Nothobranchius furzeri: one gene and its partners. The protein of the gene in region 1 purifies or fractionates together with the protein of each later gene. This does not show direct contact. Links are inferred from orthologs where the notes say so. Each region holds a gene or a part of one and is shown on either strand. Other genes may lie near its edges.

The links.
Region 2: the proteins of prkacbb (region 1) and vapal purify together in Homo sapiens (affinity purification with mass spectrometry; 4 studies listed by BioGRID and IntAct, counting the BioPlex papers as one, with this or other methods). This does not show direct contact. The link is inferred for Nothobranchius furzeri from reciprocal best matches to the Homo sapiens genes PRKACB and VAPA.
Region 3: the proteins of prkacbb (region 1) and akap11 purify together in Homo sapiens (affinity purification with mass spectrometry; 5 studies listed by BioGRID and IntAct, counting the BioPlex papers as one, with this or other methods). This does not show direct contact. The link is inferred for Nothobranchius furzeri from reciprocal best matches to the Homo sapiens genes PRKACB and AKAP11.
Region 4: the proteins of prkacbb (region 1) and akap9 purify together in Homo sapiens (affinity purification with mass spectrometry; 5 studies listed by BioGRID and IntAct, counting the BioPlex papers as one, with this or other methods). This does not show direct contact. The link is inferred for Nothobranchius furzeri from reciprocal best matches to the Homo sapiens genes PRKACB and AKAP9.
Region 5: the proteins of prkacbb (region 1) and akap1b purify together in Homo sapiens (affinity purification with mass spectrometry; 4 studies listed by BioGRID and IntAct, counting the BioPlex papers as one, with this or other methods). This does not show direct contact. The link is inferred for Nothobranchius furzeri from reciprocal best matches to the Homo sapiens genes PRKACB and AKAP1.

What each region holds. Positions count from the first base shown.
Region 1 is NC_091751.1:51,148,925-51,155,142, reverse strand, and holds the start of prkacbb (protein kinase, cAMP-dependent, catalytic, beta b), read right to left. Parts: upstream 3,681-6,218; 5' UTR 3,461-3,680; coding exon 3,415-3,460; intron 2,474-3,414; exon of another isoform or gene 2,421-2,473; intron 1-2,420. UniProt on the Homo sapiens protein: Mediates cAMP-dependent signaling triggered by receptor binding to GPCRs.
Region 2 is NC_091751.1:42,881,294-42,886,744, reverse strand, and holds part of vapal (VAMP (vesicle-associated membrane protein)-associated protein A, like), read right to left. Parts: intron 3,805-5,451; coding exon 3,701-3,804; intron 368-3,700; coding exon 287-367; intron 1-286. UniProt on the Homo sapiens protein: Endoplasmic reticulum (ER)-anchored protein that mediates the formation of contact sites between the ER and endosomes via interaction with FFAT motif-containing proteins such as STARD3 or WDR44.
Region 3 is NC_091754.1:39,458,372-39,464,359, reverse strand, and holds the start of akap11 (A-kinase anchor protein 11), read right to left. Parts: upstream 3,349-5,988; 5' UTR 3,205-3,348; intron 1-3,204. UniProt on the Homo sapiens protein: Binds to type II regulatory subunits of protein kinase A and anchors/targets them.
Region 4 is NC_091759.1:4,645,270-4,651,239, reverse strand, and holds the start of akap9 (A-kinase anchor protein 9), read left to right. Parts: upstream 1-2,146; 5' UTR 2,147-2,312; coding exon 2,313-2,360; intron 2,361-5,970. UniProt on the Homo sapiens protein: Scaffolding protein that assembles several protein kinases and phosphatases on the centrosome and Golgi apparatus. Required to maintain the integrity of the Golgi apparatus. Required for microtubule nucleation at the cis-side of the Golgi apparatus.
Region 5 is NC_091753.1:61,598,807-61,604,801, reverse strand, and holds the start of akap1b (A kinase (PRKA) anchor protein 1b), read right to left. Parts: upstream 3,358-5,995; 5' UTR 3,180-3,357; intron 1,892-3,179; exon of another isoform or gene 1,779-1,891; intron 1,693-1,778; 5' UTR 1,668-1,692; coding exon 188-1,667; intron 1-187.

The DNA of each region.
Region 1 (6,218 bases):
TAAACGCCATTAAAACACTGCAAGTTTCCCTGAGCATCACTTACAGAAGCAGTTTTTAGGAAGGCTACACAAAACACAGCTTAAAAATGGAGAGCAAAAAACAAACAAACCAATATAAGAGAAACACAGCAGACCGTGGATATCCAGATTGAGAGAGTGCAGACAATAAAACAAAAAAGAACAAAAAAAAGTAACATAAATTAAAACAAATATCATCACTGATTTGTTTATCAAAGCACAATAAAAGCAAGCACATCCTGCAGGTTTTCGCAATGAAACCAACGCATTTCTGCTGTTCTGTTGGCCTTTTTGAGAAATCTGCATACCAAAGGTCTCTACAGATGACCATGGATTTTGCAGGAACAATCACCCACATGGATGGGATGACACAGAAGAGAAGACAGAGAGAAATACAGAGTTCATGTAGATAATAAGTGTAACAGCAGCAAACAAGTATGTGCCATGAATAGAAGGAACAGCAATGACAAAACGACCAGCAATCGCCTGAGGAATTAAAGCAGATACTATGATAGTGAAAGAACAGGTGTACTAGAATGTCATGTACCAGAGGTTCAGTCATGCACGTTAGGTCAGATTGAACAGATACGACTTTAAAAAAACATTTAAAAATTAAACATCATGTGCTACAAAAGGCTCTAATTACAAAATATGTTTTAATCTGCAATTTTGTTTGATTTTAGGAATTTGAAATTATGTTCAAAGCACTAAGTCATAGAACTGCAAGTGATCAAATAGTAGTAATTTTAAACATTTTGTAAACCAAGATTCTCAAAAGCTGTTTTTGTGTTTAACATTAAAGGTGTGGTTCACTGAAGACCCATTTTTAATGGTAATTTCTGATTATAACCAGTCACTCTGAGTTTTTAATGCAGGCTGAACACAAAAATAGTCTCCTACATCTAACTCCTACATTCGCTTCTGATAGAAATTAGATGATGAAATACTAGGATTTGAAAACCCTGACAGATCTACGTCACACTGTCACTTAACGGTCACGGACTCACCCATCTTGACTCGCGATGGGGAAGACTGTTGTTTTTTTAGCATCCAGGAAACAGCAGAGAATGTCTCAGATAGTAGAAGCTAACCGTTAGCATGAGCAACTCCACCACACAGCAGAATTCATTCAGGCTTGTGTTTTTTGTTGAGATAAAACATCAACATTGCAGAGAAAATTGAGTCTGTGGTAGCGTTGGGTTTCTGTTAGCCAATCAGAGGTGAGATGTCCAAATATCAGGAAGTAAGACTCCAGATCCTGCCGCCTGAAGGTCACCTCTGATCTGGGAATCTTCTAGATCCTGAAACTGGTGCACCTGAGCTTTTGTACCCAGAGTACAACTAACATGGTGTTCATTCCTACTAGAGATTACTGTAAATGTATTGATTTAACGAGTGAACCACACCTTTAAAAAATGTCATTTGGAGGTAAATATCTGACCTTTACAATTTCCTAAAAATGCCAAATGTTCTATTTATACTTATAAAAGCAACCAATTCTATTTATGAAGCCAAAACCATTGTGTGACTAGAATATATTAGAATAAAACTTCTGCTTTGGGAAAGTGCTATCTTTAAGTCACTTAAATGTTCAAAATTAACCACAAACTTTTTTTGTAATCCAGGGGGAAACATCAACTGCCTCCATAGTCTGGTAGACAAACATCTCAGGAATCAATGCCAAAATACAGCCAAGCAGAACACGGCTGAGCTATGCAGCCTGCCCTGTTGTGCACACACAGTACACGGGTGCTGTGTAATAAATAAGTGTCACAACAGCGTGTGTTTAATCCTGACTGTGCTGGTGCTCTTTCAAGCGTTCCAGCCTGAGACATCTACACACAGTAAACACGGGGAACATGTAGCACTGTAGGTAACCAGGTCATCTTGTCAACAGAGGCTACTCTCCAGACAAATCTGCAGCTTGGGGCACGGTGTCGGCTTAAATAGGTTTAACAGTCAGCTACGACCCTGGATCTCGGGATCACAGGTGAATCCAAAGCAACTGCTTGGTTAGTACTGAAACTATCACTGATCTGATCATCCTCATGGGCTTGTGAGTTGTTGTATTTGGCATCTTACGTTGGGCCAATAACTGTCAAACAAAAACAATTACAACATCATAAAATGACCCATTTAAGCACACTGGGACCAAACAAGCACAAACGGTTTCCTGGGATTTTAAGAGAAGGAAAATAAACAAAGTAAGCTGTACATTTTCTTGAATTTCAAATATGTGGCTGTAAAAAACACAATAACCCCCCATTACTTTAGCAGTTTTTATATCCAGGCACAAAACGTAAGTTACGATTCACATCAGGGGACGTTAAGCAGTGATCAGATGCACACATCAAAGTATGCAAGTGTAAAGTAACGCTGGCCCAGGCTGAGTTACGTCAAACCTTTCAAAGCTTGTAATACTCCTTATCCTCTGACGAAGGTCCGATGACAAGCTGCTCCAGTCAATGACGAGCCGAGTGTGAGAAGATCTGATGGGAACTTTACCAATAGAGATGGGGGTCTAACCAAGAACAAGTGCCACGATTAAGGGGTTTTGTCTTCACAAGGGTGTGTGCTCCTATACTGGACACAGTAGTTGGTCCCATTTTTTTAATGGGAAGAGAGAATTTGTTATTTCATCTCCATATTTGGTTGTGGTGCTCTGCTGAGAGGGACGGCTTTGTTTATGTATCCAAGAATAAAATGTGGCAGTGAGGCCTGAGGCAGAGCCAGTCCTACTCTGCCTTCAAAATAAAAAGCAATGTCTATTTATACAAATTATGCATGGGTCTTTGGTTTATCGCTGCAGATTTAAGAGCATCACTGCAAAGTTTTAGTCTGACACAGCTGGCAGGGCTGAGAGGAGCCTGCAGCCAAACGCACAGACTCACTTTGCTCAGTTTTATGTTACACTAACCCGAGTGTTCGGGTCAAGTTGGGTTTAGGCGTTTTAACCTATATCCAAAGACTGGCAGGAAAACGAGAGCAGAACTGGGCTGACTTTAAGGGCCTGAACAGCCACTGCCAGGGAATGAGGGGCCTTCTGTGGGATACTCCCCCACCCACCCACCATAAAAGCTAAAGTTAGCAGGCTAGCTGAATTCAACCTAGATAAACGGAGCTCTAGCGAAAATGCAAATACTCGCTATACACTATATTATAAATGCGCTGATACACATGAGATTGACAGTTACCCCAAATGCTTTATTAGCTTGTTTACACACTCCGCGCTGCTCCCCTCCCCCTGGATGCCAAGACAGCCTTGTACCCTAGCCTGGACTACTACTATTTATATATCTAACAAATACATGTAGCTAACTTGTGAAGGCTTAATGAAACGCCTAAAACGGAGCTAAACAAAATCCGGTTGAAGCCATAACGGAAGCCGGGACTCACCGCTCTCCAGTTCGTTGCCCTTCTTGGCGGTGGCAGCATTCCCCATGGTGTAGAAGACACGGCGGTAGCTCCGACTGAGGAGATGATGGCGGCGGCGGCTAGCTAACCTTCCAGCATATGTTTTCGAGGTCTTTCAAAGAGGAGAAAACAACCCGATAGAAATCTTCGGTCGGTTTGAAAGTGACAAAGTCACGTTCAGTGTCCCTTCCGCTGCCCTTTCACTTTTCCCACAGCCTTCCCCTCCTTCCCTCTGACAGATTTCCGCTGCTGCTACCTCAGCGCCGCCGTCTCCGCACGGCTGACATCAAGCTAGCGGTCACTTGTGTTTCGCTTAAGGCAGGCCGTTGTGGCATATAAACACACCACACTGACACTTTTCCCAAAGAAATGCTGGAATGCCGCATGTCCCTATTTAAATTCAAGATGTTCATAACACTTTGCAATAAGGGTCATTTTATTAACGTTACTTAGTGCAACATTAAGCGTAAATAAACTATTAAATAAAGTAGTAACAACCATTTAATATTAATGTTAATATAAAGTGATGCTTAGCAGACATCCCACAGCCCACCGGGTTTTTGTGCTAACCGTAAGGACACTTAATAGTTTAAAATTTCGCGAACGTTAATGAAGGGATTCTTTGTTTATTAATGCTTAATAATGCAGTAAATAACGGCAATAGATAGGGATGCACCGATACCAATAGCAGTATCGGTATAGGTAAAAGTTAGCCGATACCAGGAACCGATACCAATGCAGTTGCTTGAAAATGGCTTCACTGTAACTTGTCATTTCTGTTCACCTAATATTTTAGTTTTGTGAGGATTTCCGTTCATATATTTTACTTTTTATCTATCTCACAGTCTTTTCCTGTTGAAAGCAGAGAATAAAATCTGTATTCCAAACCATTGCATTTTTTTGTGTGGCGGAAGTATCGGTATCGGTAATCGGCATCGACGAGTACTCAGATCCAAGTATCGGTATCGGTATAGTATCGGTTTGGAAAAAAGAGATATTGGTGCATCCCTAGTAATAGAGACACCCTTAAAGTGTTACCAAGATATTTAAAATAATAATCCAAAGTCTAATGAGATTCTAAATTAAAAAGTAAATGTTAAAACACTATTGATGCAGAAATATGCATCAATAGCCGTTTTGGCTAATGTTAGTAGTTTTCAACATATTGTATCAGTCTGATATTAATTTCCATCTAGCTGTCCATTTTGCATCTGTTTGGTCATCCCATAAGTGTATGTGAGTGTGTGTGTGTGTGCGTGCATGTGTGTGTGTGTAAATATTATATGAATGTAATGTGAATAAATTTGGGTTATCGGCCATAACAGCAATAATAATATCAGATATTGATGTCGGCCCACATTTTCATGTTGATGCATCCCTATTAGACATTTTAAAGAATGTTTGGGAAGTTTGTTTGTTTTTTAGTTAAACCGAATCTGAATATTTGAAATGAAATCCCTACATATCCAAAAAGACTAATTGAAACATCGAATACAACTTTCGCCCAATCAACATTATTCTTCCAGGGACACATTAGGTGCTTTCATGTGGCTTCCAGCGTCAGAAGGCCACAGCTGCAGTCTTCAAAAGAGCCCTCGCCTCTATCAGCGAGCTTTAGGGTAGCTGCGGCTACATTGTAGCTCATCACCATCAGTGTGTGAATGGATGAATGATACACTGTGGTGTAAAGCGCTTTGGGGTCCTCTGATTCTGAAAGGTGCTGTACAAGTAAAAGTGCTTCATCATTAAAACTGACATTATAGATATTTGGAATAATTTTTTTGTGGCAGAAGCATGCGTTTCAGATATATATCATTTACCATTTTATTCAGTATTGAGATAAGAATGATAACTCACTGCTTATATGAAAAATGGTTGTTTAACATTATATAGACAATAGCGTGATAAAATAAAATAACATTTATATAGACAATAGCTTGATAAAATAAAATAAAATCCAAATAAAATCTTTACAAACACTTCAAAAATTCCATTATTTGAATATTTTTGAAAGAACTATAATGTTAAATGATAAGTTGGCTTGCCAAACAGTTTGCTTAGTGTATTTTGACCAGAGTGGTAACTGCACAGTTATACTTTGTCTGACTTTTAGAATTTCCTCTTTCCCTTTAAAAAAATAATCCCTGCATTAAACAATGAGAGAGGAAGCTTGAAGATGGAGAATAACGAACAGTTGCTCTGAACTGGAACAATTTGGTTATCCCATGATATTTTGGTTATATTCTGCACACAAGCCTGTGGTTTGAATCTACATGATACAAAAATATTCATGTAAACACGTAAGACTTGACATAATTTATTAACTGCATGTTTCAATTTAAACTGGTGATGTCAATTTGTTTGTAATCCAAAGCCTGAAACTTTAACAAAATACAGAGTCAATAGAAAAATTATTTTCATAGAAAAAGCCTTGATAAGTACTTGTCTTCTTAATTTTTACAGATTAACAATGAAAAAGAGAATAATTTTCATTAAAAAAAGTCCACTCTGGTCCAGTTAGTCACCTCCTCTGACCTGATACTACTACTCCCTCTTCCTCCCATGTTGCACCAGCAGATCAGGACCACAATTTTTATGTTTATGTTTATTCATTTGGCAAACGCTTTTATCTAAAGCGACTTACAATTTATAACCTATAGGGCATGTTGTGATCTGTGGGGGAAACCAGAGTACCCGGAGGAAACCCACGCATGCATGGGGAGAACACGCAACTCCACGCAGAAAGGCTGCAGCCGAGTTTCAAACCTGCAACCTTCGTGCTGCGA
Region 2 (5,451 bases), about 8.3 Mb from region 1:
CTGGTGAGGATTTCCAGGCACGTCCAACTGGGAGGAGGCCTAAAGGTAGACCCAAGACACGTTGGAGGGACTATGTCGCCCACCTGGCCAGGGACCGCCTTGGTATTTCCCCGGAGGAGCTGGCCCAAGTGGCTGGGGAGAGGGAAGTCTGGGCCTCTCGACTTAGGCTACTGCACCTGCGACTCTACTCCAGATAAGCAGATGACGATGAAGATGGATGGACGGACGGACGGACGGACGGACGGACGGACGGACAGACGGATGGATGGGTTTTTTCGCCTCTTACCACTTTATCATTTTCAGAAGGCAGCTCAAAGACACATCTCAGTTTGGAATCCATGAGTTCATCAGATTTTGCGTCTCTCCACTGGTAGAAATGGAAAAAAAATAAGTGAAAACGATGCAGTTAATCATCAACTCAAACCCACAGAAGATCTGACTTTACTACAAAAACAGCTTTATAGTAGTTAAATGATTATATGGAAGTTTAATTTATACAAGTCAATTAAAACAGAACAACTGCAGAATATTTAGTTGTCATAAAGCAGTTCAGAGAAAACTACAAGATCTTCTTTATTTAATTGTTGCAAAGCTTTTGCTGCCCTCTGGCGGACAAAGGGTGAATACACCTAAAATAATATGGGCCATAATACATAGCTTAGAAAATATATATGACAACCAAAATAGTTTGTCAGCATTTTGGCCCTTTTGTACCATTTTGTATTATCGAGGAACATCACAAGAGTCCTGAAAAGAAACAGCAAAACAACCACCCCCTCTTGTGTCAGCTGTCTCTACAGGGAGTGCAGAATTATTAGGCAAATGAGTATTTTGTCCACATCATCCTCTTCATGCATGTTGTCTTACTCCAAGCTGTATAGGCTCAAAAGCCTACTACCAATTAAGCATATTAGGTGATGTGCATCTCTGTAATGAGAAGGGGTGTGGTGTCTAATGACATTAACAGCCTATATCAGGTGTGCATAATTATTAGGCAACTACATTTCCTTTGGCAAAATGGGTCAAAAGAAGGACTTGACAGGCTCAGAAAAGTCAAAAATAGCAGAGTGCAGACACTTCTGCTTTTTGCTCCCTTATCTTTTTTTCCCCAAGGCTCTTTGTCCTGTCTGCCTACAGAGCACTTCTCTGCATTTCTTCTGGAAATCCCTATTTTTTAGAAATGGATTTAATTAATTGGTCATTCAACGTGATTGATAAGATCTTTTCCACGATGAGAACGGAGGAGGGGGCTCCCACTTGCCCTCAAGGGACACACGCAGCGGGATATGCGCTCGATTCCTGGCAGGTCTGGAGGATCGTATGTCTCTCTCAGTTGTCCATTGAGGATGTTGAAGACATGTGGATATTTGGCTGGATAATCACTGGATTTCTTCTGATTGGAGTAGGAGGATATCTGGTATTCTGGAAATTTGGGAAGTCGGGAGCGATTGGAGTGCGACCCGCACCCATGGAAAGCACCGCCCGGGCGGATGCCTCACAGACTGGGACGTTACTCGAGGTGAACCGTAAGCGGGACAATGTCCTTGCTGCGTTGCCGGTATTAGTGCGCCAAATGGATGTCATCTCGGAGAGGGTCGCTGGACGGTGTGGAGATGTTTAAAACCTGAAATTGGCTTCACTGGAGGACTGGAATGATCAATACAGACTTCAAGGCAGAGAGGAAAATTATCTCTGCCTGACCCAAACAAAGTCTTGTTATCCAAATCTGACGCCAAGGCAGCCTTGAGCTGCTAACAACAACCCCCACGATGGAAGGAATGCAGACAGATGCTGTAAAATTGCGCCCACATTTTCAAAGTTAAACACATCTCCTTTAACAACGGTAGTTTCTGCATCTTTACTGCTCTGCTTCAGCTCTCCCACCTCCCGCTGCGCAGCGGCCACAAACTCACTGATGCGCCTGCAGCCTCTCAGAGTTCCTGCTGCTCTAAACATTAAAATAATTATTTCATTTTCTGTTCCTCACTTCTGATTACCTTCAATGGTGTCTGTTTGTTGCTACCAGGTACAAAAACAAACTTGTTTTTATTTGACTATATTTCTGTCCTGTCTGTTTATTATCTTCCTGCATCTCCTCTCAATCCTAAAGAAAAACTGCTACCTGGGTTCATATATATTCACCTTTGAACTGCAGTTCTAAAAGATCTACCGGCCGCAAAATCAGCGGAGTGTGCGCTGCTCGCCGGCCGCATCAGTGAGGTGCGTCAGCGGAGGACGAAACAGGTGATACGCCCCGCTCCACAGCAGCGAAAAGCATCAGGCACAAATAAAAGACAGAACACATAAAAGGAAATGAGCCGACATGAACGATCGCGTGTTAAATTTGTTTTTGAGGTGGCGACACCTAGTTTGATAATGTTACTGTGGCCGTGCTCAGGACGCAGATGTCTGGAGCGCGTCAACGATCAGAGCTTTGCATGCACAAGCTGGTTAAGGTTAGGATGGGGGTGAGGGAAAGGTTAAATTGCAAGAGGGTAAAGGTCACAATTTGGTTAAATGTCTGTTTTACGGCGGGTGTCAGTACCGACGCTCTGGCACAGCGCGTTGCCTCCTGATGCGCAGGGGCTCGTCACCTGCTGTCTTTTCCGAGGACTGCATCTTGTCACTCATTATCACGTAACAGCGACTAGTTCATACAACCCCTCACACACACACACACGGTGCAACAATGCACTCATAACTTGCAAAGTTGCTGTTCTATTTCCACAAATACCACAAGCCTGGAGGAGTTCTGCTGTGTGGGTGAGTTGCTAAAGCTAATGGTTAGCTTCGACCAGCCAAGATGTTCTCAGTTTCCTGGACGCTAAACCAAAAACAGCCTTCCCCATCGCAAGTGAAGATAGGTGAGTCCATGAACGTGAAGGGACAATGCGACAAAGATCTGTCAGGATTTCTAGAGTTTCACCGTTTATTTTCTATCAGAAGCTAACACAAGAGATAGGTGTAGAAGACTACATTCAGCTTGTATTAAAAACTCAGGGTGACTGATAATAATCAGAAATATGACTTTAAAAATGTTTTTTCAGTGTTCCTCACCTTTAAAATATTTAAAGTCAAAACAACATTTAAAATAAAACTTTACTTGTCATTAATTTTGTCCAAGAAACTGGTTCATGTTAAGTCTTTGTGCCTTTAATAGAAATATTAATTTGCTGACATTGCCTGTTAAACGGGTCGATTTATTGTCAGTTATGATTGCTCCGGCTTTAGAAAACTCACTCTTGCTACACACAAAAGTAGCCCGCCTGGTGGAGTCATTAATATCTTCATGGTTGCTAAGCAACATACATACACTACAGTCAGTAAATCTTAAATTTACGGCATTCACTTTCGGTCCTCGCAGTCAACGGAGAACCCGGTGTCTACTGCCAACACCAGCCAACGTAGATAGGGTAGGTTGGGCCTTTCGAAGAACGTTGCTGAACCAAACACTCTGGACCAAAAAGATTTCAATACATGTACCATCACATCCCTAATATAGATATATTTATAGCTAATATAGATATATTTATAGCTAATATAGATATATTTATAGCTAATATAGATATATTTATAGATTAAATCTGCAGTGAAATCCAGTAGTTTCAAGACTTTAAAATGAGCGTTTCAGAAATCAAAAGTTTAAACAGGTTGCATACAATTATGTATATTTATTTTCAAAGTAATATAAATCACTTACCAAAGAGTCCATGTCAGTAACATTTGGTGGGGCAAAAATGGTCAGCACCATAAATTTGTGTTTACTTTTCTCATTGGGGTCATAGTCAAATGGTTGTAGCATAACTGTGAATAAAGTAGAAGACAGATCAAATGCATGTATACAGGTACCCAAATACAAAAAATATACATTGAATGGCCAGTAGCAAAGCAGACAAGAAGGGAATCTTAACCAACATAAATCTAACTAAATGTTTTACATTTAGATATTTTTATATATTTTTATGAGGTGGATGCAGAAGTAAAGATTTTAAAGAAACTATATCATGCAAAATCCACATTTTGGAGCTTTTGACCAAATTATGCAATTGGCTGGATTGAACAAATTTATGGCATCGTGCCCTGCTCCTCCCCAATCAGATAGTGTCGAATCAGGATCCCCCTGGACTGTAAACACAAACCCTACTCTCTCTGGGTAGCTAGTGAGTTAGGGCTGAACGATCTATCGTTTTTGGACCGAAATTGCGATTTCAAACAGCACAATCACGTGACCGTCAGATATGCGGTTTTTGTGGTTTAGACTGATCCAGGATCAGTTGTGCAACTTTATTTATTTATTTATTTATTACATCTGGGGTTTCCCCCTGTGTTATGGCGGTCGGCAAAAGCCAGCGCGGGGGAAGGGGGTGGGGTGTACCGTCCAGAGCCGAGCCCAACTCAACAGCTGACAGAGCAGCATGTTTAGGTTATTTTCCCTGTTTTATGTTCCCACACACAGTGATGCTAATGGTGATTATAATGGCACCATAGGTGAGCCCGGGACAGAGAGAGAGAGAAAACGTAGTTGAGTAAGGGAGAGAGAGAGACTCATCACATCGGAGCAGGTTCAGGCTGGTTTCTAAAGCTGGTTTATGCTTCATCAGTGTGACTGCAGAGTCGCGCACTTTAGTTGACTTGAAAGCTAAACTTCTCTTTTAAAATGGTTTGAATGTTTCTGATGGCATATGTTGGTTCAAACAAGCTAAGGTGTCAGAATGTGTTCGTCTCTCTCACAGAACTGACATTTTAGTGAGGAAAAACTATCAGACGGCTTCGAAAAACGTGCAGCCAGCCTGCCTTGGAAATGCAGGGAAAACTGTGTGCATTTTTTTTATTTAATACATTTAAAAGCTATTTCTACCTACAGATTTCCTCCATGCATTTTTGGAGTAGAACATGTTTTTATAAAGCTCCTCTCTAGATAAAAATCACAAGCACATGTTGCTTCACAAACACATTACAAATTTAAATAAATATAATTATGGGAGAAAATATGAATAGCTTTAACTGTTTTTATTGTATGACTAAATAGTAAATATTAATGTGAATGATTTGTTGTACTAGATTAGAATCTAGACCATCTTTTCACTTAATCTATAGGATGGCTTGGCAGGCTAGTGTTGGACCTTTGTTTGCAGAAAATCGTGAATTGAACCGAAATCGCAATTTCTGCAAGAAAAATTGCAATTCAATCTTTTCCTAAAATCATTCAGCCCTATAGTGAGTGATTTAATCTCCACAGTTATGAAGTGATTTCTTTCTTACCTATTCTGAACTTTTAATAGTGCCTAGAATTAAAAATGCATTTTTTCTGCAATAGGTACAATATTTAGTCAGACTTCCTAAAGAGTTTAAAACAGAGCCAGAATTTGAACGTGATTTATACTGCTTGTTAAGTTCTGTCAGTACTAGAGTGGATTTCAGACGGATCACTACCACAAATCGGTGCCATTG
Region 3 (5,988 bases), on another chromosome or scaffold:
AACTCACTGCACACAGCTTTTTGTTATTGTGATCTCTGGTCATGGTGAGGTTGCTCCTGCTGACTTGAGCCAACCATTTTCTTCTTCTCTCTGCATCTTTGGGTAAGCCATAATTCTGATTCCTCCCTCAGACTGTTTGCTATATGCAGCGCAGCCAACCAAGGTAAGATAATCAACCTATAAAGCAATTATTAAAATACTATTTTTGTACATATAGAAATACTGAACTAAACCAAAAATATAGAGATGTAAAATTACATTTAAAAATTTTATCCAACCATAAAATTAGCCATTTCAATTTTTAACCCATGGACACATTTTATTTTAATAATAATCAAAATAAAGTTACTCAAAAGAGCTTCATTAGGTCTTGAGTACATTGCTCATAATTAATGATTCAGCTTATTTGTGCATATGTAATGACTAAACATAATGTTGGTAAAATGCTTTATTAAAAATGCTATTATACATGTACAAGTTTGGTGTTCATTTTTTCCACAAATAACACTTTTTATCTACTGTGATGAATCATACAGTTTTATTGAAAATTTATTTTTAATTAGTTGCTATAGAACTGGATACAGATGCATGTACTGTCTTCACATAAAAATATAAAGTAATGATTGTAAAATGTATTCTACTGAACATAATAGATATCATTCAAAGCATAAACAGATACATATTTTCTTCAAGGTAAGCTGGAGCAGAATTCTATTCAATAAACACTTTAAAATGGATATTACAACTCGAGTTTAGGGATTCTTGTAGGACTTAAAGTTATTAAATATGCTTATATTAGAGCAGTGTGTTGCATTACTACATCAAATGTATTGCTATAATATATTATAGTAATGTATGTGGTCTAAATGTGTTCTACAGTGTGTTAGGACTGTCGTGTTCCTGTAATGTAGAACAGTCATGGGTGTTTGTCTTCCTACAAATGCTCGGAAAAATATAAATTGGCTACTTTGTGAAGGAGTTAGGACATAATATTTAATATAATATATAATATTATTCAATAATTACCACAAATCGCCAGGGGAAATGTGATTAGGTTAAATTTTTGTGATTGTCCCACCATACGCTGTTCAAACTGACTTACGGCGCTGTGATGTTTGGGAGCTCCATGAACCACGTGACCGCGAGTTCAAAGAGTGTTGTAACTCTCTTTCTACAGCTCTGACAGAACCCTGCCCTCCTCTCCCAATGATTGGACAGGAATTCGAGAAACGTGATTGGTAGCCAAGACTCGTGCTCTCATTGGTTCCACCCAAGCTCCTCCCACTGACGCTAGAATCGAGACAGATTTGAGGTCTGTACCTGTAGAATGAAATGTGTGTTTTGAGAGTTTTGATTTCAAACGTGTACCTTGATTTTTTTAATTTGGAAGTCTGCTAGTTACAAAACGAAAGTTTCATGTTTCTGAATGAATGTTTGATGTTACAAAATGAGTAGTAAATGTACAAAATTAAAGTTTGATTTTACAAAATAAAAATGCATGTACAAAATACAATGTTCTTGTTACAAAACAAGAAATACAAGTACAAATTGAGAATTACAAGTTATAAAACTAAAGTTACAAGTTACGAATCCAAAGTTACATGTGATGAAACATGTTCCAAGTTACAAAACTTGGCACAAGTTACGCTGAATATTGTCCCAATCCTAGCTCCATACATCTCACCTTCCATCCATTTAGATTCAACCATCACAGTCGTCCTATTTAACTTGTCTTGTTTTAATTTGTTTAGAAAATACATTTCTTATCTTTTATAAACCTGAATCTGTCTGAATTGAGATGAAGTGTGTTTGATCACTGAAAAAGCAAAGAATCCTAGAATCTTCTGATTAAACATCCAAAGACCAAGCAGGTTATATCCTATATCACAGCTTATTGGTCATGAGTAAAGGTAATATATTAAGCTTAAAAGCAACAATATTCACCCCGCTACATACCGGTATGCATTTAATCTGCTGATGATTTTAAACATACAATTACTGAAGACAGTTTTAAGCAAATTCAGCTCCGTTATATTGAGACTTAAGTTTTGGCCCAGTGAGCCCGGCCCTAAGGCACACTGCTAGAACCTCTCAGTTATGATTAGCAACGCTGAGTTCAAGGACTGGGAAAAATCTCTGCTTTTTCATTTCCAAGTGACTGATGGCCAGACAAGAGTGGCTGATTCTAGAATAGAATAGAATAGACCCTACTGATCCCACAGTGGGGACATCCACCTGTTACAGCAGCACCAACACTTAGCCTGAAGAGAAATAATACAACGGTACACGTGTATATATACACACATAGGCAGGTATCTAGCATGGGAACCTTCCAGCACTAAAAACCACAAATAGAAAAATGAAGAACTGAGCAGCATATTGTAAGAGACACGGACATACTATGTAAATCTGGTACGAGGTACTGAACACATACTGAATAGTGCATTGGTGCTATTGTGTACCAGGATAATACCTAACTCTAATTACCAGCTGGATTTAGGAGCATAGAGAATGTACTTCAGGTTAGTGTTAAAGCAGCTTTAACCATGATCTGTGCCAAATATGACACAGCAGGAGTCCGTCTAAAGGCTCAGGAACCCTCTGCAGGTGTTCTGGATTTATCAGCTGATCAGAGTCTGGAATGGTGAACCTTTCCACAAGAATCTGATGGTCTGAGATGTTTATGTGGGCTTGTCATCAGCTGGAAGCCAGAATCGTCACAGATATGACAAATCAAGGCCCGAAGTATCTATGAGTCCGTCTCATACACTAGTTTCACCTTTCAAGTTGAATTACTGACATAAGCGAACTTTTGCACCAGATTCTCGTTTAGGAAAGTCAGCTGGGCTGGAAACCCGGTCCTGCAGCGGAGACCAGGGACCCGGTCCTGGATCAGGAGCAGGCCGGATGTTGGTGCTGACAGACGTTAAGCCCACATCACGGACTTGAGCTCGGCACGCGAAGTTAGCATGCTAGCTGAAGGACAACAGAGGTTCGGACGAACATCACTGACATAGGAAATGACACCAGTCCCGTCCGCAGCCGAGCTGGGCTCTAGCTACGAGCTCACCCAGGCCGCGCCGCGGTGGTTTAGCTCCGCCGTAGGTGGACAGCAGGCAGACCGGAAGCTGCTGGTGGCTCAAACAACTAACGGATCCACCTTCTTGTTACTGTACCCCGGTATTTAGTAGAAATTCAACTCACCTCTCGTTGTCGGACACCAGAACCGCTGGACAGAGCCGCTGCGATGGATGCTGTGCGGTACGGGAATGATCTTTTCGTTCGGAACTCATCTGAACTCTTGCTACAAACACGGATTTCGGGAATAACTGGCAAAGGTTCGTGGACCCAGACCGTTTCTGGAGTTCAGACATTTATGATGAGATGAAAAATTAACATCATATTTAGTTCTATTGCGTTCCACAAACCGTTCAGCTGTTTCAGACCGATTTAAATGGCTCCTGAAAATGAACCGAACGGCCCACGAACGCGTTCCTTCCCGATTCGTCCCATTGACACACGCAGACGCCCCATGTGAGTCATTTGGAATCGTAGGATGTCCAAGGAAGGTCCCGTCTTTCTCGCCTCTGATTGGCTGGAAAGACTCTCCTATGATTGGCTATTGCTGGGTTTTACTCACGTGACTATCGTGACGTCACAATGCGCGAAATTTCAGGATGGGGCAAGAAGTGTTTTGCAAGTCAAAGAAACACATTTTTAAATTTTAAACAATGTCTATCCCTCAAAAGATGTGCTCAGAAAACGTTTTAACATTGATGATAATTCATGTTCCTTTTGTGGGAAGGATGTTGAAACAACTGATCATATTTTCTTTGAATGCAACAAGACACGGACGTTTTAGAACTGTTTTGAAAACTAGATTCAACCTCAAATTGGAATCCCATGTCCCATTTCAAGAGATGGCATCACCTTTGGAACTCTCCTTCAAACAAACAACCAAGAACTCTGCTACAATCTACTTCTCTGTCTGGCAAAATTCTTCATACATAAACAAAAAATACTGAAATCACCCCCTGTGTTTAATGCATTTGTACATGATTTTAGATTGTATCTAAGATCCCTTAAATGTATCAATAATAACAGCTATGAAGATATGTATAGACTGTTGTGTAGACTTCCTGGAACTGTGTAGTGGTCCCTTGCATTTGTCCTCCCCCTTTTATAATAATAATAATAATAATAATAATACATTTTATTTAAAAGCGCCTTTCAGGAGGACACCCAAGGTCACTTGACAGAAAACACGTGATACAATACAATAAAACAATAATAAAACCCAAACAAGAAAAAAACAAAGAGAGAAACAGTTCAATAAAATCAGAGGTTGTAGACAGATTTAAACATATGTTTTGAGTTTTGTTTTGAAAAGGGTAAAACTGTCGATGTTCCTGATGTCTGGGGTAAGTGAGTTCCAGAGTCGAGGAGCAGAGTGGCTGAAAGCTCTGCTACCCATGGTAGCGAGACGGGCAGAAGGAACCGCAAGATGGATGGAAGAAGAAGATCTGAGTGAACGGGATGGGGTGTGAATACTTATAAAGTCTGAGATATATGGAGGAGAGAGGTTGTGGATTGCTTTGAAGGTATGGAGGAGAATTTTGAAGATGGACCTGAATTTAACTGGGAGCCAGTGAAGCTGCTGGAGAACCGGGGTGATGTGGTGAAAGGAAGGGGTTCTGGTGATAATACGGGCTGCTGAATTCTGGACCATTTGCAGTTTATGAAGGAGTTTGTTGGGGAGACCATAAAGAAGTGAATTGCTATAGTCGATACGGGACGTGACGAGGCTGTGGACGAGAATGGCGGCAGTGTGAGGGGTCAGTGAGGGACGGAGACGGTTTATGGAACGTAGATGGAAGTATGCTGACCGAATTATGTTATTAATGTGAGCTTGAAAAGAAAGTGAGCTGTCAAGAATGACACAGACTCTTGACGTGAGGGGAGGGGGAGACTATGGCGCTGTCAGTTGTTAAAGATCTTTTCACTGACTGTTCGATTCTCATCTGAATACATTGGCATGCTTGCCTTATTTGTAATGTAAATATGCTTTTCTGCAATAAAAAAAACGAACACAACGCGATGGAGGTCAGCGAGTATACAAAGGCTTTAAATGGAGAGGATATCGTAAAAATACAACTTAATTTAGGGTATCATCCATACAGTTTAAAAAAGTTGGACTTTTCTTACAAACTTAAGTATTTACCAGGCCCCCACAATGCAGCTCTGAAATTGAGCCAAACCCAGAAGTGAAATAAATTGCAGTTCCACTCTCATCCGCTGGGGGCTGGTGTCAGAAACGAGCAAATCCTCATTGACTCCCATGTTAAAAATACCAATTTCACAGCAGAAATAAACATGTTTACAGCTTGGTACCAAAACATGTTTTTGGTTTAAATGATCTAGTTTACACTCATGACAACTCTGAGGGGGGTGAATTTTTTCTCACTCTTCTGTTTAAGTGTATTAAAAGCCTAAAATTCTTTATAATTAATGAGCATCAGACCCACGTGACCACAAAGCTAGCGCCGTGGAAAGGCCTCAGTAGAGCCTCGGTCTGGCTTGGAAACTGTTCCGGGATTTTGAGTCTCTGTGTTTGTGTATTCTTGTTTGGATATTTTTTGTGCAACTGTTGGACAAAATGACTTGCTGTGGCATTAATTTCACTAATAGAGCGTCCAAGGAGTCTCCACTTCATTTTTTTCAAAATTATATTTATGTATTTTAGTTAACTGCCGAGTTGAGCTTAGATTTTAACATGTACTGTCTAACCATGAAATTTAAATGTAATAGGGTAAAACCCAGTGCATTTAACATAATGCTGCACTTTAGAAAATGGGTTGAGATATAACATGTTGGTGGAGCTGGGTTCCGACTATCGGCTTGTGGAGCTCTCGGGAGACCGATGTTTTCCACCCTTATCCCCTCCCCGCAGCCCGGTCCATCTCTGTCTGATCGCGGCTTCTGTTTGCT
Region 4 (5,970 bases), on another chromosome or scaffold:
ATTAAGCTGTTGAGCCTTTTCAGGTCCCTGCTTCTGATGCTACTACCCCAACAGACGATGGCTGAAGAGATTACACTCTCAACAACAGACTTGTAGAAGATGTGCAGCATCTTGCTACAGACATTGAAGGACTTAAGCGTCCTAAAGAAGTGCAGTCTGCTGTGTCCCTTCTTGTAAACGGCGTCGCTGTTCTTTATCCAGTCCAGTCTGTTGTCCAGGTGAACTCCAAGGTATTTGTATTCCTCAACCATCTCCACTTCTTCTCCCATGATGGAAACAGTGTTTGACTCCACCCTGTTTCTTCTGAAGTCTAAAATCTTCTCCTTTGTTTTGTTCACGTTCAAGGTCAGATGATTGTTTCCACACCATGCCACAAAGCGCTCCACCAGCTCTCTGTACTCAGCTTCCTGTCCATCTCTGATACACCCGACAACGGCTGAGTCATCTGAGTATTTCTGTAGATGACAGGTCTCTGATTTGTACTGGAAGTCTGAGGTGTACAGGGTGAAAAGGAATGGTGAGAGTACAGTCCCCTGTGGTGCTCCAATGTTACTGATCGCCTGGTTTGATGTGCAGTTCTTCAGTCTCTCAAACTGTGGTCTGTTTATCAGGTAGTCTTTAATCCAGGCGATAGTTGAGGCCCCCACCTGTGTCTTCTGGAGTTTCTGGCAAAGTACATCAGGCTGAATTGTGTTAAATGCACTGGAGAAGTCAAAGAACATGACCCTCACAGTGCTGCCTGCTTTGTCCAGATGACAGTGGGTTGGTTGAAGCAGCTGGATGATGGCATCTTCAACTCCAACTCCATGGCGATAAGCAAACTGCAGCGGGTCCTGACATGTTCTAGTTTGCTTATTCAGGTGGACCAACAGGAGTCTCTCCAGGACATTCATGATGTGGGATGTCAGGGCAACCGGTCTGTAGTCGTCATTGACTGATGGGCGAGTTTTCTTTGGAATTGGAACAAGGCAGGATGTCTTCCACAGGACTGGAACCTTCTCCTGGGCCAGGCTGAGGTTGAAGAGGTTCTGCAGAATCCCACAGAGCTGCTCTGCACAGGCCTTCGGGTCTTTGTTGGCCTATGGCAGGTCTTTATGAGCAGGAAACATCTTTAAAATGAAAAAGCTTAGAATTGCAATGAAAACTCAACTGGGACAGCTCTGGCAACCTCTCTTCCCATTACCATAGAAACTGGGCAGATTAAAAATCATTCAGACTTCAGATATTACAGGAAAATGTATTAAATTAGCTTTCAAATCTGTTTATGATATTGTTACCAAACTGCCTGTATGTCGATGCCTTGAGTGATTTTTCCATGCACAGTTATATATTTGTTTCCCAGTCTTAAGTCTGAGGAAAGGGTATTTCCACAACTGCAACGCAAAGCGAGCTGGAAAGCCTCGAGAGGGTGGCCAAGTTATCGTCTTAATCAGCGAACAGTGATGCTGGTTGCAGTGAAGATGAAAGGAACCAAGATGATAAATGGGTAGAAAAAGATGTGGAAATTGTGATTGCAGAGATGATGACAGAAAGAACAAATGTTTTCAGAAAGAACAAACATTTACAGAGCTGAGGATGTACCATTTGATGTTAATAGAGTAGAATAGAATAGAATAGAATAGATTAGAATAACCACTTTATTGTTCCTTAGTGGAAAATGTTGGTATCACTGCAGCAATTACATTTACAAAAAGGAGAGTAAAAAATAGAGTAAGTAAGATTAAAGAGCAAACAAAACAAACAAAAAAAAAACATTTGCAGAAATGCTTAAAATATTTAAAATATTGAATATATACACACTTTAAGAAATTAAATAAAAAAATATCTGATAGACATTCTCCTTTTTAAAATAGATTAATTTAAACATTAGATAAAACAATAAAAAAAGTTAATAGCTCAAATTTGTTATAAAAATATTTTTTTGTAGAATCTAAACTAGGTGGGTTCAAAGGTCTAAAATAATGTGGCCATTGTTGTTGTTATTATTATTATTATTTTGATCTTTTTATTTTTATAAACGTAACTCACAGGTTTGTGCTATGGAAGTGGAAAAAGGTGACATTTCCGGCAGCAAGTGAAGCCGACACCAATGAAATGCCAGGTGGGCGCGGCTTCGTGTGCACATACACTACGTCATCACAGTTGGGTCTCATGTTTACGTGGAAAACATGGCGGCGGACTACAATCAAGATAGGCAGTGATTTCGAGCCAAGCCGAACGAGACACGCTTCAGTCTTCAGCTCTGAGACTTTTGTCGCAGACGTTTCGTATGACGTTCTGTCCCCCTTGTTTCTGCCACAGAGACAGCGGAAATGGAAGACGAGGAGAGGCAAAAGAAGCTCGAGGCCGGCAAAGCTAAGGTATGATTTTAAACATTACCACTTCTGCTCTAAACTTGTAACAGTTAGCTGTCGAGAGCTTGTTTCCTGCGTTTATTATGTCTGTCAGCTGTTTTTAACCCCCCTCCCCTTCATTCACCCCTCTCAGCTGTCATGCGCCCTGCTTTGACAGCTGAGGAGGGGGGCTAGCAATGCTACTGCTAACCATGGTTTCTTTGTCATGCTGCATTATAAACATTTCTCATATGTGCTTTCCTCTGCCTGGCGTGTAGGCAGGCGATGCTAGGTTAAACAGCCACAGCTCGAGCCGTCGCATCGTTATTTAGGGCTTATAAGCGCCGCCTAAAGCGACTCTGACAGGCTGGTGTAACTGGATTTACAGGGCATATCCTCACTAGCAGGAAAAGAGGCACCGCATCACATTCTTGACGTTACCTTGACCTTAACAGCAAGGATTACGGACAAACATGTCAGAGTAACGCACATTTTCTTAAGGGACTGCAACTCGTTTATACAAAAAGAATGAACTGTTTAACATCTTATGTCGGTGACTAAATCTGGAGTTCCTCAGGTCAATAGGACAGATACATTTCATGTCAGCTGTATAATTTGATGCATCTTTATTACACAAATAAATAAAATGTGGTTTTCAAGATGTGGCTGAGTCAAAAAGTGTGTCACAGCCTTGTGATCACAGCTTGCATAGCATATCTCAACCTATAAGATTACAAAATTGTTGCTCTTGTATTTTGAGAATTTAGATGTTGAATTATCTGTTAGATGCCCCTACGATCCTACTGAGGAATGACTATTTCAGATAATGATTGAATGATCTACTATTATACTATAGACTTACGCGTCTTTGGGTGTCTAGAAAAGCGATATATAAGTTCAAATAAATGCATTATTATTATTATTATTATTTTAGACGGGAAAAAAACAAGGGTTTCCATTCTGATGCTGCAGGGAATGCTCTTCAGAGGTTTTCTTAGCCCAGTTTCAGATCATATAAAAGACCATCTCCTCAGCTGTTATTTTTGGAAGTATAAAGGCTCCTCATTGCTTCAGGCTGGTATGGCTGCTGCTTTTCTGGCACCGTGTTATGCCACCATGTCCTCACATGCAGCAAAATAAATAAATAAATAAATCCAGGGCAATATTACTTTGATAATAGTTTATAATAATTATGAGGCCTTGAAGGTTTAGCTTGAATGAAAGAAGAATATGATGAGGGCGGTCTTTTTTTAAACTAATCAAAATGATGTTGCAACACTTGATTTGAGTGATACTTAGTGGGTACAAAATGACATTTTCAGTGCAACGTTTGTGCCTTTCTCTTACAATCAGTAGCAAAGACGATGGGAGGATTGCTTTGAGTGAAATGAATGATGAAGAGTGAGCTGTCAGTCATCTGTTGTTCAGCACCAGGCAAGAGCATTCTGAATCTCACCAGACAAAAGCAAAGTAAAATCTGTGCGCAGGCATTGCTAGACTATTGTTTCCAGTTACGCATTTGTCTTGTAGTCTTTTATGTTTTCTTTGAAAGCTACAGAAATATTGACAAGTGTGCCACTATCGGATAAGTTATTTAATTCATTCAATAACAATTAATTCTTCAATTATACATGAATTAAATTGCAATTTCAAATGGTTTGTTAAACTGTCCATCACACTGGTATGTTTAGCAGCTAATAATCCTTCCAACTAGAGCTGGGCGATGAATCAAAAATGTATCGTTGTCTGTAGGGCTGGGACGACAATCAGTAAATCAATTGATCGTACGATCGATGAAAATGAACTCAATAATTTTCCAGCCTAAATATATCGAGGTTAAGAAATGTTCAACTCTATTATTATTATTATTATTTATCATATTGTTGAAGTGCAGTTTTGGTTGTTGACACTGGATATAGGTCACTGAGTGATGCATCTTTGTGTAGGTTGGCGACATTCATGTTCCTGTAAGAAGCAGTACAACCTCGAGTCATGTGATAACATTCCATTCCATTTTATTTATAAAGCACATTTTCACATGGCCGAGGCCAACCAAAGTGCTGTACAGTAAAAGCATAAAATCAACCCACGGGAAGAAGTAATAAAAAGTAGTACAGTAACTACTATAAAAACAATAAAAATAAAAAAACATCGTAAAATGGCAACTAGGCTGAAGTAGAAGCTAAGGAATAAAAATGAGCCTTCAGACGTGATTTAAAATCAGAGGGGGGGGGGGGGGGGGCATTCTCACTGCTAGGGGGAGTTGGTTCCAGAGACGAGGCGCACAGATTGAGAACGCTCGCTCTCCTCACATCCTCACCCGAACACTTGGGACCTGTAACAGGCGGTGGTCTGCTGATTGAAGAATTCGACCAGGTACGTAAGGCTGAACCAGCTGAGTCAAGTAGAGAGGCGCATAAAGATAGAGTGACTTAAAACCGAGAAGTAAAATTTTAAACTAAATGCGGTAGCGCACCGGAAGCCAGTGCAGCTGGGTCAGAACAGGAGTAATTCCAGCCTGGCACCGTGGGTTTGATTCCAGCTCCTGCCAGGGGTATTCTGCTGTTGTGTCCTTGGGCAAGACACTTCACCCAACTTGCCTGTGTTGGTGGTGGTCAGAGGGGCCGATGGTGCCAAATGGCAGCCTCGCCTCTGTCAGACCACCCCAGGGCGGCTGTGGCTACAAAGTAGCTTACCATCACTAGCAGTGTCTGAATGTGACAGTGCACAAAAGCGTCTTTGTGTCCTAAACAAGCGCTATATAAGTTTGATGATGATGATGATTATTATTATTACTGAGCTAGGTTCTGTTGAAGGTTTCTTCCTTTTAAAAGAAAGTTTTCCTCTCCACTGTCGCTACATGCTTACTTAGCACAAGGATTCCTGGAAAGTTACTGACACAGGTCAATGACTCGATTCAGTCTGCTGGGTTTTCTTACACAGGAATATTTAACTAATCGGCATAATGAACTGAACTCAATGCACCGAAAAGTCAGTTCAGTTGGAATGTTTACTTTCTAAAAGTGCCTCGAGACGACTCTTGTTGTGATTTGGTGCCATATAAATAAACTGAACTGAACAAACTCAAAGCAGCAGAAAAGTAGGGTGTGTTGAGGTTCACGGAGTCAGAAAAGGTCCGTTCTATTATCAGGCTCACCTGGAGAACAGGTGATCTTCTTAACGTGGACCTGGATAGTTAATCTCTCCAGTGGAGGAGCCCTGCAAGTCTCTGAGAGAACAAAGGACTAACCGGTACAGATTATGCAGCTCATTAATTGGCTTAATAGACACTGTGGTTGTAGAAGTAGTAGAAGTGGTTATTGTATGCAGTGGGAACACCAAATAAATGTTAATCTTTTATCAATATTTGTTGTTTTAAATGAGAATCGAAGGGATAGTAAGTAGTTTTGATGGTGTAGCGGGTGCCCACTATACCTGCACAAGGGCAAAACCCAAAGATGGAGAATTAAGTCCCACACAGCAGTTTTCAGTTGGAGGCATTTGTTGCGAGAACTGAAAGAGAAACGATTCTAGTATAATATGATGTTTCTGTTGCGCATACCACGAAGAGCACAAGTAATGCATTCATATCATAGCAAACAGGAAAACGTGGATTTAATAGCATGAAGTGATCTTT
Region 5 (5,995 bases), on another chromosome or scaffold:
CCGGCTGCAAAACCCTCTGAAGTTATGGGTCAGACAAGATCAGAAGCTTCTAGATCAGAACCTGGGCCCATAGTCGCCCGATTAACACATTCAGTACGATCACTTCCAGAGCAGACCCACGTCTTTAGCACATTAAAGCAGGCTGCTAGGACACACACCCTCACCGTTAGCATAGGACGAGCCTCACCTCCAGACTGATCGGTGTCCACCTCACATGTCCCATGAGCCCCGTTTCTTGAGCCAATCCCGTTAAGTCTCTTTAGGACACCTGCAGCATCCACAGAGCTCTCCTCTGGGGCTGCTGGGCCGGCCTCCACCAACGACAGCGGCTGCACGGCTTCCAACGACAAGTCTGTAACTTGAAGGACGTCCGTTTGGTTTTCCAACACGCCGCTCTGCAGCTCCTCCAGGCTAACGCCGTCCTCAGAGTGGCAGGTGCTGCAGGCAGAGTCTTCGGTCAGGACGGTCCCCTCGTCGCCTCTACGTTTCACGTTTAGACCTGGAGAGGCCTGATGCGGCGGCGGCGGCGGCCACGAGACATTTGTTTTACAAACCCCGTTGCTGGCCTCAGCAGCTGCCCGTGCTGGAGTCATGGAGCCACCATTTGGCACTCCCTGGACATCTGCTGCCTCTCGGCACTCAGGGCCTCCCTGCACAAGGCTTCTCGGGTGACAACCGTGCTGCTGTGTTCCTGCGACCGGCTCCTCTAGAGAGCAAAGCTGTCCTCTGACCGCGGGTGAGCTGCCACCGGGTGACACCTTGGTGACACCGAGCACTTCCTGGGTGGCTGCTGAGATGACCTCAGTGATGAGTCCAGCTGCCAGGAGCTCCAGATTCGGCTCTTCTTGAGTGCTGCTCTTGATACGGATGTCCTCTGAGGTCACCAGCATGCTGGTGGGATCCTGGACTGTGAAGGTGAGAGAAGTGGGTGTACTGGTTAGTATCAGTTTGTGTACATCCGCTGACAGACACGTCTCCAGAGAGTCTGCCTCTGATGGGAGGACCCTTGGTGTTTTGGCTAGGGTAAGTGCACAAACAATCTCATCTTGAGTGTTAACAGAGCTCTGATGCATAGCAACTTCACCCTCTGGCTCTGGTCTTTCTGCACCAGAGAGGCGTGTCACAGAGGACGAACGGGTGACTTTGGTAGCACGGTGAGACGTGATGGCGTCCTCGCTCGAGGCCCCCGGAGCCACCTCTGAATGAAACTCCCCGTCTGAAACTATTAAGAAGTCCCTTCCAGGGGGTTTCAACGAACTTCCTGTCACATCTTCCTCATGTGATGGCGAAGTGGGACCTGTGGGTGTAAAGATGTCCTCTGCTATTAGTCTGCCACTCAGTGGGTCAGGATCATCAGAACTTTGAACCAGGGAATGTGCTGCTTCAACATCCTGGGTGTGGATGGGAGAAAGTATTTCATGTGGTGTTCTCTGGTGGTTTAGACTCGGAGGTCCGTAGAAGTCCACTTCACGTGGAGGTGTGGCAGTCCCGTTTTCATCCACGCCGTTTCTACCCTCCAGGTGAGATGTGTCCGCGCTCGGGGGCCCCTCTGAACTTTCATCGCTGATTAGACGCTCTTTCTTACGCGAGGCGTACCACCACCAGCCGATGAGTGCGAGTACACCGGGCAGCGTGTAGGGAACCACGGAGCGGAACCTCAGCAGCATGTTCTCAAGAGATCAGGGGGCACACCTGAAATTAAAAACAGGGACAGATGAGCAGAGAAAGGCGTCACAAAGACTTTCTGGTAACAGAAACCACCTAGGTGGCAAACCTACAGCCAGGTCAGCAAACAGGTCTCCCCGGCGACCCGAGGGACTCGCTGGAGCTCCGTAGCAGAGTCTTAATGCTCAGACATCTGACAGACTAGCCCACATCGTCGGTCTGACTGCTGCTCGTAGAGAAGTGACATTAGCTGATTTTTACATCAGTTATTTCAGGATAAAATCGACTTTAACTGTCTTCCTGACCAACTTTGACTAAACTTTAGCTTCAGAAACTAAAGTACTTCTTGTTTGGAGTATCCCACACCACTCACCTGGGACAGCAGCGTTCACTCTAAGGTGTTAGAAAACATGCAACACGTGTCTGCTGGATTGTGAACTTGGCTAGGAACGTGCACAGCCCTAACACACACCATTACACCCTGAACCCAAGTGAAAGTGACGCACGCTGGTCTTGGACGTCTGCATGACCCTGGGTGGTTCTCACCCGACTGTGGCACAGAGAACCGTTAAGGTCATCGTGCGTGCGTGTGCGTGTGTGTGTGTGTGGAAACACGTCCCTGCCAGGTCCTTTCCTGCGGACTGACACGCAGACTCGCTCTCAGAAGCCACCTCTGTAGGTGCCTTCCTCTCACGTAGGACACAGCCTACATGTATGAGACTCCCAGCAGCGACTTAGCTTCACGGCTAGCTGACGCTAAAGAACAGTCCGTCTGTTTGAACATAATCCTGCTGGCCTCGGGTCGTCTTACTAGATTGACGGAAAACGTGAAGTTTTCAGGAATTTTAGGGACAGCTCGTTAATCCCACCGGGACAGCTGGCTCGTTCACTCACCAGAGGATAAGTTGTATGAAATCTGTCCTCGCGCTTTACTTAATAACGTCAGGCCCTACTAACGAGAGGATCTACGTGACACACGTTGACTAAATATTGGACATTTTTGTTTTGCTTTACCAACTGAGAGCCGGGCTAGGCCGCAGCGGCGCCGTGGAGGACACGTGTGTTGGGTCGAAGCGGGTTAAAGGACGTTCTGCTGCGAGCGGGCCTCAGCCCTGCTGCTAGCTTACTGACCTGCGATGCTAACACCGCAGCCAACGGCGCTGACTGGCCGACAGCCGACACTTCTACTGGGATATAAAAGCTCTGGTGTGCTTGTTACGGTGATCGTTCGCATCCGTGCCCGCTGAGGACACGTACATGCGGCTGCTTGAATGACACCACAGGGGCAGACCTGGCTGCACAGCCCAAAACTGGGCAAAAGTGCTCGTTCAATGACACGATGGCATTGAACGAGCACTTACTTTCAGTGCACACACCTGATACATCCTAAGCGTGCCCAGAAATGTCAATGGTGTGTATTTAGTCGGAGATGAAAGGCTGTCTGCTTAGAGAACGCCAAAAGTCGGTGGCACAAGGGTGCATGCTAGTCTGGGAGATCGCGCTGTTTCATTTACCTTCTTCTGCGCCGCCACGACGACTTCGAGCCAGGAAGGAAAAGCTTTTCAACAAAAGTCCTGTACAAAGTCAAACTCCTCTCTCCACGTGCTGATCGACCCACGCAGGTCTATAAAAACACACAACTACTACTTCTTCATCCTCTTCTTCTTTTAGGTTTTTAACTTAACTCAAAGGTGCGGTGTCGCCCCTGGTGGGCAGAAGTGGGACTTTTTTTAAACAAAGCAACATAAAATAGAAGAAGAAGAAAATATAATTTCTATAGCGCCTCTCAAGATAAAAAATCACGAGGCGCTTCACAAAAACACACAAAAAATGTAAAAGTATAAAAAAGCATTTAGAAAATGTTTAAAAATATATTTAAAATGAGCAAAAATAGGTAATTGGGATTTAAAAGAAAAAATGTTAAGAAAGAGAGAGAGTGAACAGGAAGGAGGGAAACCAGTGGATCCTGAGGAAGGTGGAATAGGTGGAGAGAGCAGAATAAAGAGAGAGGTGAGGAAGGTCATACAAAAGCCAGCTTGAACAAGTGAGTCTTCAGCTGCTTTTTAAAGGAGACCACTGAGTCCACTGATCTCAGGCTCAGGGGGAGAGAGGTCCAGAGTCTGGGGGCCAAAGCAGCAGATGATCTGTCACCTTTGACCTTTAGCCTGGTGCTGCACAACCAGTAGGCTTTGGTCACTGGACCTCAGGGACCTGCTGGGGGTGTAGGGACTAAGAAGATCACCAATGTAAGATGGTGCTTGTCCATGTAAGGCCCTATAGACCAGAACCAGGATCTTGAAATGAACCCTGAAGTTGACTGGCAGCCAGTGAAGCTGGAGGAGAAGCGGGGTGATGTGGGTGTGTTTGGAGGACTTGGTCAGAAGCCGAGCACAGGCATTCTGAACCACCTGTAGACGGTTCAGGGAGGTTCTGCTCAGACACGTGAAAAGAGAGTTACAGTAGTCTAAGCGTGAGGAGATGAAGGTGTGGAGGACTGTCTCAAGTTCAGAGCGGGACAGAATGGGACTCAGCTTAGCAACGTTCCTGAGATGGAAGAAGGAAGAGCCAACAAGAGAACTGACATGAGAATCCAGGGTGAGAGCTGGGTCAAAGGTCACGCCAAGATTCCTGACAGAGGGTTTGGTGTGGGAAGCAAGCTGACCAAGAGAGTCTCTGACTTTGGGAAGCAGCTTGTCTGGGGCACAGATGAGGATCTCAGTCTTATCTTCATTCAGCTGAAGAAAGCTCCCAGCCATCCAGGTTTTGATAGAGTCTAAGCAGGTGTGTAACAGCTGCAGCTTAGACATCTCATGGGGCTTAAAGGAGATGTACAGTTGGATGTCATCTGCATAAAGATGGTAGGAGATTCCTTTGAAGGAGCTCAGGATGTGCTGAAGAGGAAGCAGATAGAGGGGGAAGAGTAGAGGCCCCAGCACAGAACCTTGTGGGACACCATGGGTAAGAGAGGTGGTGGAGGACCTAAACTTGGAGACGGCCACAGAAAAGGAGCGCTCAGAGAGATAAGAGGAGAACCACTCCAGAGCAGATCCTGATAGGCCTACCCAGTCTCTCAGCCTCTCCAGTAGCAGGTGATGGTCAACAGTGTCAAAGGCTGCAGTCAGGTCCAGCAGGACCAGAACAGAACAGTCCCCTGCATCACTGTGAGTCAGAAGGTCATTAGAGACCCTAAGAAGAGCTGTTTCAGTAGAATGAGCTCTACGAAAACCTGACTGGAAGCTATCATAGATGTTATGTTCACCAAGAGCAGCTGTGAGTTGTTTAGCCACAACCTTTTCCAAGATCTTGGAGATGAACGGAAGTTTAGAGATGGGCCTGAAGCTGCTATGGAGAGAGGGGTCGAGACTCGGTTTTTTAAGAAGCGGGTGGATTACAGCGTTCTTAAAGTAAGCAGGGACCTGACCAGAGACCAGAGAAGCTCGCTGGGACCGATGGACTGAAAAGCACTTTTAAACAAAGATGAGGGTAAGATGTGGAGGGGGCATGCAGAGGTCTTCATAGAGTTAACTAGTTTGGTTAACTCAGGCAAAGAAACAGGAGCAAAGCTATCTAGGATGATGGGCCTGGTTGGAGTCGGGAGAGGCAACGATAAGGCTGAAGGAGAGATGCTAGATCTAACCTTATTGACTTTGTCCACAAAGAAAGACAGAAAGTTCTCACAGTCTGCAACAGAGTGGATGGAGGCTGTAGGAGAGGCAGGAGAGACGATGCTGCTGATGGTGTTAAACAGCACCTTGGGGTTCCCTTTGCTCTGGGACACCAGGGTGGAGAAATAGGAAACCCTAGCGTCTCTGACTGCAGAGTTAAAGGATGTCAGAAGATCCTTTAGGTGCAGCAGATGGACGTGGAGATGGGTTTTCTTCCACAAGCGCTCAATTTTCCTGCATTGGCGCTTCAGGCTGCGAAGGCTGTCATTAAACCAGGGAGTAGGGTTCACTGCAGGACCTGATCTGGTTCTGACAGGACAGATGTTGTCCAGAATGGAGAGGCCGTGCTCGTTAAACTGAGAAGTTAAGGAATCTGGGTCGTTATCAGAAGAACAGGGTGGATCAAAAGCAGCAGAAAAATTGCTAGCTGTGCTCTCTTTAAGAAAACGAGAACTAACCATATGGCGAGCAGGAGGTGGGGACGCAGAAACGGACAAGTTAAAGAAAATGCAATGGTGATGTGAAATATAAACGTCCTTAGGACAAACACTATCAGCATTTAGACTCAGGGTAAAAACAAGGTCTAGAGTGTGTCCCCTGGTGTGTGTGGGGCCAGAAACATGCTGGGTAAAGCTGAAGGAGTCCATAAGGCTGGAGAAATTCAT